Linked DNA regions of Anolis sagrei. Each later gene encodes a partner of the first gene's protein in a complex. Links are inferred from orthologs where the notes say so. Each region holds a gene or a part of one and is shown in the gene's direction. Other genes may lie near its edges.

Evidence for each region.
Region 2: the proteins of F2 (region 1) and THBD are in contact, whole or in part, in a crystal structure (PDB 1DX5), measured with the Homo sapiens proteins. The link is inferred for Anolis sagrei from reciprocal best matches to the Homo sapiens genes F2 and THBD. Residues at the interface, in NP_000497.1 of Homo sapiens: Phe382, Ser385, Pro386, Gln387, Leu423, Arg425, Thr432, Arg433, Tyr434, Arg436, Asn437, Glu439, Lys440, Ile441, Met443, Lys470; in NP_000352.1 of Homo sapiens: Ser424, Cys425, Glu426, Cys427, Tyr431, Ile432, Leu433, Asp434, Asp435, Thr440, Asp441, Ile442, Asp443, Glu446, Asn447, Gly449, Phe450, Asp479.

Annotation. Positions count from the first base shown.
Region 1 is NC_090021.1:279,172,809-279,181,880, forward strand, and holds the start of F2 (prothrombin), read left to right. Parts: upstream 1-5,164; 5' UTR 5,165-5,236; coding exon 5,237-5,315; intron 5,316-9,072. UniProt on the Homo sapiens protein: Thrombin, which cleaves bonds after Arg and Lys, converts fibrinogen to fibrin and activates factors V, VII, VIII, XIII, and, in complex with thrombomodulin, protein C. Functions in blood homeostasis, inflammation and wound healing.
Region 2 is NC_090024.1:140,402,402-140,411,974, reverse strand, and holds the start of THBD (thrombomodulin), read left to right. Parts: upstream 1-6,044; 5' UTR 6,045-6,308; coding exon 6,309-7,862; 3' UTR 7,863-9,573. UniProt on the Homo sapiens protein: Endothelial cell receptor that plays a critical role in regulating several physiological processes including hemostasis, coagulation, fibrinolysis, inflammation, and angiogenesis.

The DNA of each region.
Region 1 (9,072 bases):
GTATGTGTCCCTGGGAGAGAGCATTCTCTGTTTGGGCACATTGGTAATAGGATACACTCCCTTTAGATTCCTGTCAGAGTGCACTTTAGTGTAATTTCTGCACCAGCAAAAACATGGGTTTTTACTAATGCCTTAGGAGCATAGTTGATCCATCCAAATTTGTCTGTAGTTTTAAATTATTTAAACCTATTTCATTTAGTTTTAAACTGTCTTGTTTTCAACTTATCAAATTGTTTAATATCCTTTTAGTTGGTTTATATTATTTCAATTATTTAGAATTCTCAACCAGAGTGTGAATGGACTCGGTAAAGTACAAATCCCAAGAATCTATAGGCTGACACCATGGCAGTTAAAGTGGAATAATATCACTACAATTCTATAGTGTGACAAGACCTCTGATTTTCATGTAGCGCAGCCTTTCCCATTGGGAACTTGGGGATCACACTGTGAATCTTTCCCACCCTCTGTTTGAGATTGAACCAAGGGGTTGATGTATTTGTTGTGCAATTGCCTTGTTTTATTCAGATTTTGGTGTGTCAGGAAAAAATCACCTTCACTTTGTCATCTTCTTGTGTTCTTTCACTTCTCTTTTCTCCCTATTTTTAGCTTACTTCACTTTTGTGGACAGATCCAATACCTACAGAAGCCATTCTGCATAGGCCATTCTACAAGCTTTGTCTGGAAACACCCGAGGATCCTAGAAATTGACCATAGGAAAATGATCAAGATGGTAATATGTCTGGAAACAAAGTGCTATGAAGACACAATTAGAGAGCTGAATATGTTTAGTTTATAAACTGAGAGGTGCCAAAAAAGTGTGTGTGTGTGCCTCTGGTTCCCAACATGGGGAACACACCTCACAGGAGGGCAATTTGATTTTTAATGGGCAATTCGAGAATGCTTTATTAACATTGCTTCTTTGCATTTCTTGTGGTTCTAGGAGACTCAAACACAGAATACAAATACATATTGTGGCATACACATTTTAAAAAATAACATTTGAATGTACAGGGTGATCGATTGGAGACAAAGGATTGGGGAGAGCCCACTCATAGAGAGGAATTGAGAGAGCATAAACTAGAGAGTGCATTAGTACAGAAACAGGAGACCACTTTTATGCCAAACACTCCACTCCTCATAGTGTTCTTGTAACATTACAAGCTATATAAAACATATATAAATGTCTTTTTGTTCTACATATGAATGCAGCAAGACATAATGTGAAAAAATCCAAAACATAATTATTACCTTCATAGGTAAGTCAGTATTTTGTATGAAAAAAAGATGATCCCCTGCAAGAAAATTAACATCAGGTGACACGATATTAACGCTTTTCTCACCAAATACACACAATGACATTGGGCGTTTAAGTTACCCTGAATTTGATGCAGATTACTCAAATTCATTTATTCTTTTCTTTTTCTCTTTCTTGGATGCCATGTTATTTTGGAAGCTTGTTTGGACCAACTTTATGGCCTTTTAAGGTTTCTCCGTGTGAATAGGAGTTTACTTTTTGAGTAATGACAATTGCCATGGGGGAGGGGGTCAGGGTTTTAGAAAGGCTTAGGTGGGGCATTGCCAAAAAAAAAAAAGTTGGGAACTACCAGTATAGGTCTAAAGTTGCCTGCTGATTTCTGGTGATGCCATGAATTTCATAAAATTTTCTTAGGCAAGAAATATTCTCTGAAATACAGTTTGCTGCCCCCATTATTTCTTGGTGGCCCTTATCCAAGTATTAACTAGAGCTGGCTGTGCTTAGCTTCTGAGATTAGACAGATGCCTTTAGAGTATTTAAACTATTTATATAGGTGACATGATAAACATTATCATCATGTTACCTACATAACCTTGGGAAGTCTGATCTGGCCACGGTGGTCCATGCTCTGGTTAGATCCCAAATAGATTACTGCAACACACTCTATGTGGAGTTGCCTTTGAAGACTGTTCGGAAACTTCAACTAGTCCAACGGGTGGCAGCCAGATTGCTCACTGGAGCATTGTACAGGGAGCATACCACCCCCCTGTTACGTCAACTCCACTGGCTGCTGGTCCATTTCCGAGCACAATTCAAAGTGCTGGTCTTGGCCTATAAAGCCCTATACGACTCCAGCCCAGCTTACTTTTCTGAATGTATCTCACTCTACGTTCCGCCTTGTAGTCTAAGATCTGTCGGGGCCCTGCTCTCGGTCCCACCAGCTTTGCAAACGCGGCTGGTGGGGACAAGGGACAGGGTCTTCTCAGTGGTGACCCCCTGTCTGTGGAATTCGCTCCCCAGAGAAATTCGATCGGTGTCCTCTCTCCTTTCTTTCAGAAGAAAACTGAAGACATGGTTGGGGAACCAGGCTTTTGGCTAATGGATATATACGGCACCTGAACCGTGAATTGGACCAAACGGTTATAATGAAAATGCCTTTATGATTGGATAACTAATGTTGTTTCAATATATTGTATTGTATGATTTTATTTTGCGTTTATAATTGTAATTATTGCGGCATCGAATTGTTGCCATTGTTAGCCACTCTGAGACCCCCTGCGGGGGTGAGAAGAGTGGGGTAGAAATGCTGTAAATAAAATTTAAAAAATATGATGGTGACAGGAAGACAAAGGTAAGCATTGTCTGCAATGGGATGGAGACAGGCAATGTAGTCAGACTGGGGACAGACAGGAATACTGCATTCCAGACCAGCACCAGGTTTTCCAGCCTGTGTACAGTACATATGACCAAGGACAGAAATGTGTGGATTTAAATTCTAAGAATCCACCAAAAGATTAGGATAAATTTTCTGATGGTGTGGTTCAGCAGTGAACTGGACTGTCTTAGAAAGTGGTAGATCTCTCCTTCATTGAAGGTCTTTAAACAGGTTGGATGGCAAGAGTACCTTAATTTATTTTCTATCTGTATCTATCTACAGATAGATACCTTTCTACAGACAGAGTCCTCCCTGAGTCCCTCCTAGGGGGTTGAGAAGGGCGGGGTAAAAAAATACCCGAAATAAATATCTATCTACTTACCTATCTAATTTATACATACATATACCTACATACATATATACACACACACACATACACACACCTACTTGGAAGACGATTAGACTAGAGATGGCCCTGTGGTCTCTTCCAACTCTATGATTCTATGGAATGAACACACCTGTTTTCTCTGGCATCTTCCTCGCACTTGTAATGTCTCCTGGGTCTTTTGTCACAGTAAGGTCTCGGGTTGTTAATTGCAGACACGACTGAGCAGGCCTGTAGCCAGGATTTCAATTCGGGGGGAGGGGTAGTTTGTTTCGGGAGGGGGGGCTGAGTCTGAGTGAAAGAGGGTCTACCTTAGCAAACCTTTTGTATCGTTGCCCCAATACCCCCATGCATATGGGATATATTGAGTATGGTGATCAGATCATGATATGAATAAACATAACAGTTTAAATAATGCACCAGTAAGGCCTTCTCGCAGACCAACATGAGAATTTCGGGGGGGGGGGTGAAACCCTTCAAGCCCCCCCCCCCCCCCCCCGGCTACATGCCTGCGACTGAGGTGACATTATATCAACATAGTCCCATATGTACAATAATTTAGTTTCTAATGATCCCTCTGTTTTATACCAGGGATGTGTGAAACTCTGTTCTTCAAACCCTGCTCTCAAATTGGAATAGAGGATGGTGTAATTGCTCTTTGTACAAGTGGCCAAAGAGTTGTTTCCCAGTTGTGCTAATGCTAATATTTACCCGCCTGTGATAGAGAGAGCAAATACTGACTAGAAAACTATTTCAGAAGTAAAGAGAGATTGAGAGGATCAAGAAAAGGTGTTTAGGGCCTGGTATTTTTCATTCAGAACTTATTGTTGTCTTAGATGTGGACTCCCTCCCAAAAGATTTTAAGTTGAATTTGGAGTTTCTAGTACTTATACATTATGAACTGAAAGTTGCTAATGATATTGCTACTTTACATACCATCCATATGCTGTTTTTTTTCTTCTTCTCTCAATCATAGATGTCTAGTTAATGTTGAAACTAAATAACTAAGAGATATACATATGATCAAGGTGCATGGACCCTTAACTTCATTATTTAGTCATTTCTCAGTAAAAAATGAAAACACTGTAATATTTGCTGGATTTATCAACTGGAGTTCTGTTTGTTTATGCCAACTAAAGTAGTAGACTTATTTAATCAATTCTTGAGTGATGAGTCAATATGCAGATAAATCCATTTGTTTCCATGGGCCTTTCCTTATCAAGAGCAACAATAGGATTAAGTCCATCAATGCCAGCATTCTCTTTGTAACAGTCATCTAGCCAAATGTCCCTGGAAGCTCACTAGGATGGTATCATGAAAACAGACATCCCTCAGGTTTCTTTATCTGGTTCTGAAAAGTATATTACCTCCACAAATAATTGCATTTACTATGCAGTTCTAGATACCAGAAACAGGGTGCATTTCATTCAACTGACTTAATTCCAAGTAACTATGTTAGTAGTTGTATAAGATTATCATTCCCAACCCCCTGTGATCAACCTAGCCTAATTTGTTTGTCCAAACCTTTCTTTAAAATTATCTTCTAAGCTAGTAACTGTCACCATATCATTTTATACATTTACCATGCAAAAGAGTGAAAATGGTGTAGTGGTTTCAATATTGGACTACATAGTTATCTATGGAGGAAGTTCGCACACTAAGATTCTAAGTGATGGGTTTTATTATTAAGAAAATTAATATTATTTAAATTAAGGAAACTCTGGCTTGTCGAGGAGTTTATTAGGAATAGTGCGACTGTGAAATAGGAATGCCTCATCCTTGGAGTAGCTGCATCTTGCAACTAGGTCCCCAAATCAAAGACTTGGAAACACTTTGATAACAATTTGGCAAGATCTCCATGACAGTGAGATTGGACACTTTGATATCCTGTCTTTCAAGAAGTGGCCTTTATATTATTTCACAAAGTTCAGGATGGCTAGCTCTGTTTGGGCTTATTTGAAATAAGTGAAATATATGCATTGGAGACTTCTTTTTCATGGTTTGCATATGCTAATGAAGCAGCAGAAAACAAAAATGCTCCGAAGAGAGGGAGGGAAGCCAGGGTGGGTGCAAGAGCAAGCTCTTCAGTACAACTGTCCCTGACACACTGTGACCTGGTTCCTCTTTCTTCATGCTGGTTCAACATTAACCCAAGCTGGGCTGCAATAGTTTCTCCTCTGTTTCCCCTCTGCATTTTTCCTGTAGCTCAGGAACCCACACAATGGGACACAGCAGAACCAAAATGCTGAGGGCTTTTCTCCTCATCAGCCTTGTACATTTCACCCAGAGCTACGACACGGGTAAGGATACGCAGGAAGGGATGGGGAAGGTGGCATCTGTCAATCAGCAAAGCCAGAATATTGTGGTGGGGCTGGAACAGTAAAACAAAATGAAGGCAGAGGACAAGAAAGAATCCAGGGCATCCTTGATATGAAGGAGAAAGCAGCCAGTCATTGAGAGAAATAGTCAGGATCACACTGAAGAAGAGGTGAGCATGGCAGCCGTGCAGAGACACACCTCTGCAAGAACTTTGGAACTGAAAGGCTCAGAACATGGAAAATTATAGCTCTAAGAATCGTTGAAATATTCTGTGAGTTGTAGTTGGAAAAAACTGGCATTTTAGTAAACTCTGGGAAAATACAGTTTTGGAAATAATTTGTGGTCCTTGAGAGAAAAGTGTGGAAGCTAGACTGAAAGAGTTGCTAGTGACTTCTGTCTTCAGGCAATTTTTAATTTTATCTTTATACTTGAGAGCATATAAATAATTAGAGATTATTCAGGACCCACGTTTGCCTTATTCTGGGGAGATCGACAGGGTGTGTGTCTATTCATTTTAAATCTAGTTCATTATCTGGCTAGACTTAATAGAATCGGATTCTCGCCAATATTTTTAAAAGTTTCTTCTCCTGGCTCTGAATATAATTTTTCTAAGTTTGTTTGTTCATTTATTTGAGTATTTATGCCCTACTCTTCTGCCAAAAGGTATCCCATGGCAACTTAGAAATCATCAGTTCGACAGTCCCCTTCCCTCAGGCTTACAATCTAAATAAAACATGACGCATTAGGAAAAGGGAATGGAATTAAGTGTGAGATCAAGTTCAGCAGATGCTGGCTGCTCTTCTCCCATTTTGAGGCCAAAGTGATAGCAGTTGTAATTTGGAGGGAGGGCTTCTCGTCAACTGCTGAGTCAAAGTATGATGGAGCTCTATCTGGCTGCTCTTCTGTCCCTGAGAGGAGAATGTGTGCTCAAGCAATGGATATGGAGGGAACCAGTTTTGGTGCTTCCAAGTCCTTCATTGCTTATCTTCTGAGAACCAATTTGTGCTTCTCACCTCCAACTTAGATCTGTTACTATCACATAGAGAACATTTATGGAAACTTTAAGTTGATTAAGGCTTAAGTGTTTATGCAATGCAACCCACAGCAGCAGCTGCATAAATACTTTGCTCCACTATTTCAATCCAGCCTATCTGTTGCCAGTCAGCCACTTATTTATTTTTGTCTTATCATTCTTCAAAACTTGGTGCTGGAACTAGGCGGTGAAGTTTTTCTATCTGGAAAAGAAAGGAAAATGTGTGTCCCTGCATGTTGCATATGGAAAGGACTACAAAGGGTCAAACACTGGGGTTAGGCAAACAGAAGACCAGCACATTCTACCAAAGAGGTACTCATGCCATGAGGGTTGAATAAACAAGCCTTTCTATGCAAACAGGAAGAAATAGGTGGAAATAGGCATTGATCAAAAAGATGTAACATACTCTTGCAGGCAGCCATACATTGGCAGAACTCTGATATTACATTCAGTGGAAGATTTATGTATGGTTGTGAAAGCTAGACAATATAGGAAAGTTGAGAAGAGAATTCTCTACTTGGTGCTAGAGGAGAGTTCTGCTAAAAAGGCCAATAAATTTGACCAAGAGCAAATCATGCCTGAACTTTCCCCAGAAACCAAAATAACCAAACCGAAGATATTATACCTTGGTCAATAATGCTTAGCAAAGTGGGAAGCAGTAGGAAAAGAGGAAGACCACATTGTAGGTGGGTAAAGTCAATCTGAGAAGTCAGCCCTGAGTTTACAAACCTTGAGCATGGCTAAGTCTCTTGGAAGTTTCTCATTCATATGGTCAATTTGAAAGTGACTTGAAGACAATTCATAGCAATCTGAAGATCTAGTTCTCCCACATTAAGCCTATCATAGACTGGTCATATTTTCTCTTTAGTAACATCTGTTACTGGACTGTACCATACCCCCAACTGCACCAATTCAGCAAGGACAACCCTGAGTAATCCTCTGGCGTACCACTGTTTTGAATGTCCCAATTTCTATCTCCTCTTTCCACTTTCCCCTTCTTTTCTTTCCTTACCTTCACTTACTGGTGAGTTCAAAATGCAAAAGTAGCTAGCATGCAATTAACTCAGCACAAGGAAGAGGAGTGGTGTGTAATCTTGCCAATTGTGATAGGTTCAGGCTAAATTGTTCCAGCCTCTCCTAATTCATGTGTGTTCCCCTAAAATAACAACTGCAGTCTAAACTGCATTCCAGTGTTGTTTGGTCACAATGTCTCTGTTTTATCTGTGAAATATTGTGGAATATGCATTGGTTCTAATTTGTACACAGAAACAAATATTTGTAATTGAAATGTTCTGTGCTCTTTTAACCTATTCTTTCCTGTCTGCACAGAAAAACCTCTTTGTAGTACTTTGTTTTTCTGAAAAAGAAAGAGAACAGAATTTATACCTTCTCCATTCAACCCGCTTAGCAATTCATTTCCGCAAGACAAAGAGATGTGATTGAGTTTTAGAAGGTGAAAAAACTTAACCCATCCAGAAGATAAAGCTCTTTAACATAAGCAAGAAATTTAACGCAGCCAAAAAATAAAACTCCATAACACAAACAATAAAAATGAAGAAAACAAAAGAAGACTGGCAAAAAAGGAATATTATTCAGATCAGTGAAAACCAAATGAATAGTTTAGTATTGTCTTTTAGGAACAATTCAAGAAATGAAGCTTTATAATTTGATATAATCTTCTATCTTTTCTGTTGAATTGATGGTCAGAATATTAATTTAATGTGCATTAATTTCAAATTATTAAACCTTCAGTAGATAGTAAAGTTAGAGGAATATACTATACACAGCTACCTGTGATCTGGAACTGTGTATCTGAAACATACTGATAACTTACTTATTCTAGTAAGTGTGATGTAGTTTATTTGATCAAGTCACCCGGATTTTTGTTTGAAGCACCTTTCTGTTGGGTGCCCCTTTCTTCTTCTGTCCCAGTGAGGTCAACACTATATAGATCAGAAGATCTAACAGTGCTTGGACTGCTGTCAGCTGATCATGAGTTGCAATCCAAAAACATCAGTAAGAAGTTAGTTGCTTCCCTTAGTGTTGCTAATCTGGATGTGGTAGTAACCCATTAGTAGAAATTTTGTTGTTGTTAATTGCTTTCCAGTCAGCTTCAATTTCTGGCAACACTGTATGAATGAGAGACCACCAAGTCACACTGTTACCACCAGCTATGCTCAGATCTTAGAAACTCAGGGATATATCTTCTGTGATTGAACCTATTCAACTTGACTATGGTCTTACTCTTTTCCCACTACTGTAATGAGCACTATTGTCTTTTCTAATGAATCATATTTTCACATGATATGACCAAAGGCAACACTCTCAGTTCAGTCATCTTGGCTTCTAGGGAGATTTCAGGCTTGATTTGCTGTTCAATGTATGTATGTACTTACGTATGCATGTATTTGAAACCTCCCTTACAGGAAAATACTTTCCTCAGAATCCTTCTTCATTCTTCTATATGAAATAAGTGGTAAAAAAAACTACTAGAGTCTTCCAAATGATTTTGAACAGCCTCCATCGTTGCCTATAAGACCTAAAGCAGATAAGTGGTGAAGGGCTCACCCTAGATCTAAATGATGTAATGGGGCCTGGTTTCCAAAGTCAAAGTTCTAGGACATTTTCATTAGCAGGAGTATGACAACCTCTGCCACCCCCACCCCCAGATCCTCCTGTTCCCTGTAAGAAGTATAGCTATAAAT
Region 2 (9,573 bases), on another chromosome or scaffold:
ATCTTGGAGACTATCCAGTGAAAATAAAACATGGATGACAGTGGCATAATTCATTGTCATTGTCAATGGTAGTTTCTTCATTCCATCTAGGGAGTCCCAACATATAATGGGCCCATTGTATTTTATCATCAGGAGATTTCTATGAGGTGAGTTAGACCCATAAGAGTGAGATCCTGTGTTTAACAGCCAAACAGGGAATTGAACCAGGTCATCCCATCACAAGTCCAGAACTATATACTAAGCACATTAGGTCTCAAAAGTATGCTTGTACCCACACCCCTTTCCTCATTTGAGGGTGGGTTCCCTTGCTGGATAGGAAACACTGTTCAGAAGAAAATGAAGATAAGCCACTTGACTGTTCAGCATTTTTGCTGAAGCAATGCTCTTGGAGAGGAAAGTTACTGTCCTGGTCGGATGCCAGTTTCCTAGCATGATGTTGGCTGCTGGCTTGTATCTGGGAGGAGTACTCACTTTACACTCCTTGGCAGCCCTTGCAGCTCCTCTGAGTCAGTGGGGACTCAGTCTGAGAGGTGGGGAGGTTCCCAAAGTTCAAAACTCATCTATTAGAGAGGGGAGGCCTGCCATCTCTCTTCTTACCAAACTCATGCAAACTGATGCAAACCACTCTTACTTACTAGGGATAGTGTCATATGGAATGCACTATTTCATAATGGAGTGCGACGAGACATCTTGGAAAATAAAGATATCCCGATCTGCTCTTGCGCAAGAGGAGACTGAGGCAAATATGACAAACCCCAAGCCTTCTGCCTCTCCTTTCCATAGAAAGTCTAGCACCGAAAGGCATGTTGTCTCAAAAGAGTTTGTGATTACATCTGGCATCAATCTCACAGTCAACAGCTGCTGTGCTGAAGGTCAGAAGGATGAAGGCCAGCCAGGCATCACAGCAGCTGCATTTCTCACAACTATTCTGGTGTATGCCTGTGACACACATACTGAATGGACATCACAAAATACTCAGAAACAGCTGTTGTAGAGTCATTACTGACTTTTACCTCATAGCCATATATCCATGTTCAGAAATAATCCACATTTCCCCCTTCACACTTGTAAGAATTCAGTGCACCTAAATTATTATGACACATATTTACAATATAATAATTGTAAAACAAAAACATTGTGTGTAGTGTGAAGGAGCCCTTTAGGGTATAATCTACATGTGATACTAACTGCAATCCTGACAATGCTATTGTCATTTTAAAAATTCAGTTTCAACGTTACTTATGTATGTATGTATGTATGTATGTATGTATGTATTTTGGGCACTTCTGCCCTGCCCTTCTCAATCCCCAAGGGGAGACTCAGGGCGGCTTACAACCGGCACAATTCGATGCCAACAATTCAACAGATAAATTACATAACAGTAATAACCACAATAGTTAAAACAATCAATTAAAACAGTAACAATTAAAAGCCAATCTAGTGGCCAATGTTCACCGAGTTCTAATATCCATAAGTCCATTCAGCATTACCATAGTCCATTCCAATTTCTGGTCATCATTACCATGTCAGTCTGCCAGATTACCTGAAGGCCTGGTCCCATATCCATGTTTTCAGCTTCCTTCAGAAGGAGAGGAGGGATGTTGATGACCTAATTTCCCTAATTTCCTAATTTTGGGGAGTAAATTCCACAGGCGAGGGGCCACCACCGAGAAGGCCCTGTCCCTCGTCCCCACCAGCCTCACTTGTGATAGAGGTGGGGCCGAGAGCAGGGCCTCCCCCGAAGATCTTAAACTCCGAGGTGGGACATAGAAGGAGATACGTTCGGACAGGTACACTGGGCCGGAGCCGTATAGGGTTATAGGTCAAAACCAGCACTTTGAACTGTGCTCGGAACTGGATCGGCAGCCAGTGGAGCTGATGTAACAGAGGAGTGGTATGCTCCCTGTATGACGCTCCGGTGATTAATCTAGCTGCCGTCCATTGGACTAACTGAAGTTTCCAAACAGTTTTCAAAGGCAACCCCATGTAGAGCGTGTTGCAGTAATCTATTTGGGATGTAACAAGAGCGTGGACCACCGTGGCCAGATCAGACTTCCCAAGGTACGGGCGCAGCTGGCTCACAAGTTTTAATTGTGCAAAAACTCTCCCGGCCACCACCGAGACCTGGGGTTCCAGGCTCAGCGATGAGTCCAGGATCACTCCCAAGCTGCGAACCTGCGTCTTCAGGGGGAGTGTAACCCCATCCAACACAGGCTGTAACCCTATGCCCTGTTCGGCCTTGCGACTGACAAGTACTTCTTGCCCCACTCCCATTTTTTCAGCATAGTGTTGACAGGCATTTAAAATAGCAATGGAGGAGTGGGGAATTGGCAATTTGTCAATTTATGGCCTGCATGGCTGACAGTCAGGAAATAATTAAAAAGTTTGTGAAATGTCAAATAAAACTATTGATTTAAGCAATTGAGCTAGATTTTCATTTGTAAAATCGACATATTGCTTATATTAATGAATTTTACAATACGTGGCTGCTTCCATGAAAGGCCCAAAATCCTTTGTAAGTTGAAGCAGTCTATTAGAAAAGGAAAGCGCTGCAAGCTGCAGGATGCATTCCTGGTCATGGTGACTGTCTGAGGATGATGGGCACCCATCTTCAGTTGTCTGAGAACTTTCAGCTATTGGTAACAAAACAATGGAGGGGATGATGCCCAAGGATCAATTCCTAATATGTAAGACTAAAGAAGTTAAAAATACACAAGAGATCCATGCTTTCATAGTTTTAAACTATATAGATCAACAGATCACATATATAAACCAACACATGGTTTAATGCAAGGGTCTTAGAATTATAGAGTTGGAAGAGACCATGTGGGCTATCCAGTCCAATCCCCTGCCATGCGGGAAAAACACAATCAAAATACCCCCGACAGATGACCATCCAGCCTCTATTTAAAAGCTTCCAAGGAAGGGGTTTCCATCACATTCCGAGGCAAAGAGTTCCACTGCTGAATAGCTTTTACACTCAGGAAGTTCTTCCTAATGTTCAGGTGAAATCTCCTTTCCTGTAATTTGAACCCATTGCTCTGTGTCCTGGTTTCCAGGGCAGCAGAAAACAAGCCTGCTCCCTCTTCCTTATGGCATCATTTATACCTGTCTATCATATCTCCTCTCAACCTTTTCTTCTGCAGGCTGAATATGCCCAGCTCTTTAAGACGCTTCTTATAAGGCATAGTCTCCAGACCTTTGATCATTTTTGCCACCCTCCTCTTCAAGCATTTTAAGCTGAGGGCTGGTTCATAGTCCCTCAGGTTGCTGGGGGACCTGACTATAGTTTGAAAAAAATGAATTAATTCCCATGCACACTGTACATATCTTATTTTAGTGCCAAAAGAATGAAAGAACAATACAATTTTGGAAATGAAGAACAATTTTAACCAACAATAACATACCAGTGTTTCAATGGCAAATGTGGGCCTGCTTTGGGCTTATGGCAATAGTCAAATCAAGTAGGAGGAGTGTTGCTGTTGTGTGCCTTCAAGCCATTTCAAACTGAGGGCAACTCTAAATCTAAAGCTGGGGACCGGGTGAATGACCTTGGTGGGCTGCATCTGCCTGTGGGCCTTAATTTGAAGATTTAGCCCTTAGCACTTAGATTTGTTCCTCAGCTTTGGTGGTGATCACAACATCTTAGTTTGAGGACTTCCCAATTGGATCCCCCGTATGAGGGTCTGCGTCCAGAGGCAAACCAAGAATGGGCAACTTGGAAGTCACTCAACAGACTCAGAAGAGGAGTGGGCAGATCAAAAGACAACCTGGCTAAATGGCACTACCACTGTCTGCTTCCCCAGTCATTAGAAAAATAATAATCAGGGACTGGGATTACTACCTGTTCTAAAAGAGATACTCATAACTTGAGTATCTTGGGCCTAGCATTGCTTCTGGGGTTCTTGTGGGCAAGAGCAACCAACTTTGGTTGGTGGGAAAGCTGAGCCCTATCCAGGGAAATTAGCTTCCAGTTAAAACAAATACAATATTCTCTAGGACAGTGGTTCTCAACCTGTGGGTCCCCAGATGTTTTGGCCTTCAACTCCCAGAAATCCTAACATCTGGAAAAAAAGGCTGGGATTTCTGGGAGTTGTAGGCCAAAACACCTGGGGACCCACAGGTTGAGAACCACTGACCTAGAAGAATCTTTCACCTTGTGTGACTGTGGAGCAGAACAAACAACTCTGCACCTGTATGCTTGCCCACAATGCCCTGCCTTCATGCACAGAGGAAGAACTGTTTAAAGCTACAGACAGTATGGTCACTGTTGCCCATTTTTGGTCTAAAATTATTTAGCCGCTTGTGTTCCCTCTAGTTTATCAGTTTTATGCTTATTTATGCAATGCTTTTGACACAAAACATTTAAAAAACCCTGTGCAAGTCACTGTCTCTGTGGGCCCTTCCACACAACCATATAACCCAGAATATCAAGTAAAGTAAAGTAAAGTAAAGTAAAGTAAAGTAAAGTAAAGGTAAAGGTTTTCCCCTGACGTTAAGTCCAGTCGTGTCCGACTCTGTGGGTTGGTGCTTATCTCCATTTCTAAGCCGAAGAGTTGCCGTTGTCCACAGACACCTCCTGGTCATGTGGCCAGCATGACTGCATGGAGCACCGTTACCTTCCCACCAGAGCAGAACCTATTGATATATTCACATTTGCATGTTTTTGAACTGCCAGGCTGGCATAAGCTGGAGCTGACAGCAGCAGCTCACGCCGCTCCATGGAATTGAATCTGCGATCTTTCGTTCAACAAGCTCAGCAGCTCAGTGCTTTAACCCACTGCGCCACTGGGGGCTACAAGTCAGATAGTCCACAATATCTGCTTTGAACTGGGTTATCTGGGAGCCCTTTCACACAGCCATATAACGCAGAATATCAAGTCAGATAACCCACAATATTTGTTTTGACTTGGGTTATCTGGGAGCCCTTCCACACAGCCATGTAACCCAGAATATCAAAGTCAGATAACCCACAATATCTGCTTTGAACTGGGTTATCTGAGGGGCCTTCCACACAGCCATGTAACCCACAATATCAAGTCAGATAACCCACAATATCTGCTTTGAACTGGGTTATTTGGGGGCCCTTCCACACAGCCATGTAACCCAGAATATCAAGTCAGATAACCCACAATATATGTTTTGAATTGGTTTATCTGAGGGCCCCTTCCACACAGCCATATAACCCAGAATATCAAGTCCGATAACCCACAATATCTGTTTTGTCCTGGGTTATCTGAGGGGGCCTTCCACACAGCCATATAACCCAGAATATCAAGTCCAATAACCCACAATATCTGTTTTGACCTGTGTTATCTGAAGGGCCTTCCACACAGCCATATAACCCAGAATATCAACACCGATAATCTACAATATCTGTTTAGACCTGGGTTATCTGAGGGCCCCTTCCACACAGTCATATAACCCAGAATATCAAGTCCGATAATAACCTACAATACCTGTTTTGACCTGGGTTATCTGAGTTGCCTTCTACACAGCCATGTAACTCACAATATCAAGTCAGATAACCCACAATATCTGCTTTGACCTGTGTTATTTGGGGGCCCTTCCACACAGCCATGTAACCCAGAATAGCAAGTCAGATAACCCACAATATCTGCTTTGACCTGGGTTATCTGAGTTGCCTTCTACACAGCCATGTAGCTCACAATATCAAGTCAGAAAACCCACAATATCTGGTTTAAATGGGGTTATGTGAATCCAGGCTGCATATATTTATACAGCTGTGTGGAAGGGGCCTGAGTAAGAAAACAGCAGGCCTCTTCTGAAGGCATCTTGCCCTGGGTCATCTAAGGTGGAAAAGGGGAAAGGGGGGGGGGGTCTGTGAGGAAGAGAAGGCAGTGGGCTTCGCGGCCTCACCCAGGAGGAAAGTCCTTGCGTTGTCCTCCCCACGAGAGGGCGGGAAACCCCTCAGAGGCGCACGTGCAGCGCCGAGAGGGCGGGGCGGGGAAGGGCAGGACAAGGGAGGGGAACTCCCTTTTCTGCGTTTCCACTCAAGAGACAGGAAAGCGCGCGGGTGTAGCTGTAGGGTTCCTCGGTCCCGTAGAGAATTCTAGTGGGAGGGGAAGGGAAGGGGAAGAAGGAGCAGCCGCCCTTCTTCCCCGCCCTGAGGCTGCTGCGGGTCCGCCCCTGAGGAAGACCCGGCCCGGCCCGGCGCGCCCTCTCCGCCGCCGAAGAGCCCTGGAGGGCGGGGCCTTGTCTTTCCCTCATGGAGGGCGTTATAAGGGCGGCGCGTTGCCTGAAGGAGGGAAGCCAAGCCGAGGGCTCCTTCCCGCAGGCAAGCAGGCATGTGGCTCCTGAGGCTGCTGCTGCTGCCGGTGGTATTGGCGGTGTCCGCTCCCTCGCCGCCTTCCCCTTCCCCTTCGGGGGCGCAGTGCGTGGGCTCGGCTTGCTTCGCCTTGTTCTGGGTGGCGCGGAGCTTCTCCGAGGCGGACCAGGCGTGCCAGGGAGGCGGCGGGCGGCTCATGTCGGTGCGCTCGACGGTGGCAGCGGAGGCCATCGCTCTGCTCCTGCGAGGCGGGCCGGGCCGCGCTTGGCTGGGCTTGCGCCTGCCTGTGGGCGCCTGCCGGGAGCGGGGAAAGAAGTTGCGCGGCTTCCAGTGGGTCTCCGGCGACGAGCGCACCGACTACGCCGCCTGGGATGGAGATGAAGCAGAGGGAGACTCCCTGCCTGCTTTGTGTGGCCCCCGTTGCGTGGTGGTGACCCCAGAAGCGCTGTCTTGGGAGGAGAGCAGCTGCGACGCCCCCTCCGACGGCTTCCTTTGCGAATACAGCTTCCCCTCTGGCACCTGCGCTCCTCTGAATCCCCCACCATCCGCGGAGGTGCTTTACGTGACTCCCTTCGGGGCCCGGGAGGCAGAATTGGCATCCTTGCCCCCAGGGAGCACGGCCCAAGTGCCCAGCTTGGGGGCCACCCTGGAGTGCATAGCACAAGGCCAGGAGGAGCCCCGAGGGCGCTGGCGCTCTGTCACGCAAGGCGCCTGGGACTGTCGCTTGGAGAACGGGGGCTGCGAGGGGCAATGCCACCCTGGAGAGACAGGGCAACCTTATTGTACTTGCCCCGGTGGGGTGGCTTTCCTAGAGGCCGACAGTCTGAGCTGCCGGTCCCTCTGTGCCCACCTGGACTGCGAGCATCACTGCGTGACACAAGGCGACTCCGCCGTCTGCATGTGCATGGAAGGCTACCTGTTGGACACCAACGGCAAGAGCTGCGTGGACGTAGACGACTGCCAGACCCAACCTGGTCCCTGCGAACAGGAGTGCCTCAACACCTCGGGGGGCTTCAAGTGCCGCTGCTCGGCAGGCTACGAAATGGTTGAGGGCAAGTGCCAGGAGGATAGGCGGCCCTGCTTCGACCTGCTCTGTCAGCACGACTGCACCCTCATAAATGGGAAGCACATATGCACCTGCATTGAGGGCTATGTTCCGAACCCCTTAAAGCCCAACGAATGTCTCCAGTTCTGTAACCAGAGCCAGTGCCCGGCAGAGTGCGACCCCCACACGGGAGACCACTGCGACTGCCCAGACGGTTTCATCTCTGACGTGACCGAAGATGACATTAAAGTTTGTACTGATATTGATGAGTGTCATTCCGGGGAATGTGGTAAATTGGAGTGTGTGAATACACCAGGAAGTTACCATTGCATCTGCCCCAGTGGGCATGTCCAAGATCAGAAGCCCTGTGAGGAAGATGAGGAGGGCTCAGGTGGAACGGAAGTGTACTCCAGCACACCGGCTACTACTACTGTACCACCAAAGGATGGCAGCAGCCGAGGGGTGCTTGTTGGACCCATTGTTAGTACAGTGTTGATGAGTATTGTGACAGTAGTGCTTGTGTGCTAGTTGATGAAGAAGCATTGCATTGCACTGCACAGCCCTGAAAGGATTCAGGAAGTCTGTAGTGTGGTTCTGTAGCAGGTCAGCCCAAACAATTAAGAAAGAAAATGTAGGAGACTATGGCCCCTTCCACATAGCTGAATAAAATTCCATGCTATCTGCTTTGAACTGGGATATATGGCAGTGTGGACTCAGATAACCCAGTTCAAAGCAGATATTGTGGGTTATTCTGCCTTGGCATTCTGGGCTATATGTGTGGAAGGGCCATATGCGTGCAGGAAAAGGGAATGGGGAATGTTTGTAAAAGCTGAATGGAAATAGTGACAGATCCCAATGACATTCCTTGGGAAGATCTATTTTCTTAATGTTTTTAAATACTGGATGGAAATAGTGACAGATCCCAATGACAGTCCTTGGGCAGATACTGTTATATTAATGGTTCTCTGAAGGAACACTGGAAACACTTTTTCAGCTCAGCTTCCTGATGATTATTAATGGCCATGGATTGTAAGCAGGGCCAGCGCTTGAGACTGACTTGTACAAGGGAGAAAGAATATGCAGCAGATTGCCACAGAGACTGCGTTCAACTATAACATTTGTGATTTATTTTTAACTAGCATATGTGTCTGGCAATTTTCTCACAACAGAAGCGACTTGCTGTTTCTCAAGTCACTTCTGACAATTAAAAAAGAAAACCTGGCATGGTATTTTCAAATGCTTTTTAAATTAAACATACTTATTGTTAAATTTATGATTTTATGAATGGTCCCATTAGAAAATGTATACTCAAGCAATGTCAGGTACTTATGCTAGTGTTTTATAAAGTTTCAATACTCATTTTCTCTGTACAGAGAATTTTTTTCTCCATGCATATAAATGCACTGCTCTGAATGTAGGATTCCGTTAAGAACTGAATTATTACCCAGATTGTATCATTTTAAGTACTCCCTTCTCCAGATCACTTCCTTTGCCTGTCCCTCTGAGAAGGCCTCCCTTAGATTTTTTTTCCATGTTAGGTGCAACTTGAGAAACTACAAGTTGCTTCTGGGGTGAGAGAATTGGCCATCTGCAGGGATGTTGCCCAGGGGACACCCGGATGTGTTACCATCCTGTGGGAAGCTTCTTTCATGTCCCTGCATGGGAAGCTGGAGCTGACAGATGGGAGTGCAACCCACTCCCCGGATTTAAACTGCCGACCTTTTGGTCAGCAGTCCTGCTGGCACAAAGGTTTAACCCACTGCACCACCATCTCCGTGGCCAGGCTTTGGCCATCTGAAAGAAACTGATGCACTAGCTCTCTTCCATTTGTCATCTCTTCTTCTGGAATAGACTTTCTATCCAGTGCCCTCTAGTGGTCGCTTCTGATTGCTTCAGTGTGAGGTTCATGGAATATCAATGTAGATCATGTTTAAAATAAGGCAACAGACAAAAAAGGGTGATTTTTAAAAACCCCACCAGTATTTTAAGTTGGATCATGAAAAGCATGTGTTTCAGGTTTGGTCCAGATCCATCAAGCCACGAAGAAGCCTTTGGGGTACAAGCATGCATACATATCTTCACACACACACACACCACAGGGATGAGCATACCCCAGGCTTCAAAAACTGAATTTCTTATAGGAATGCAAAGACCTATCAAGAGTTTTGTTCAAGAATTCACAGTTCATCTGCCTCAACCTTCCTTTGTTTCAACAATGGGATTTAAAGGGTAGGGTGTT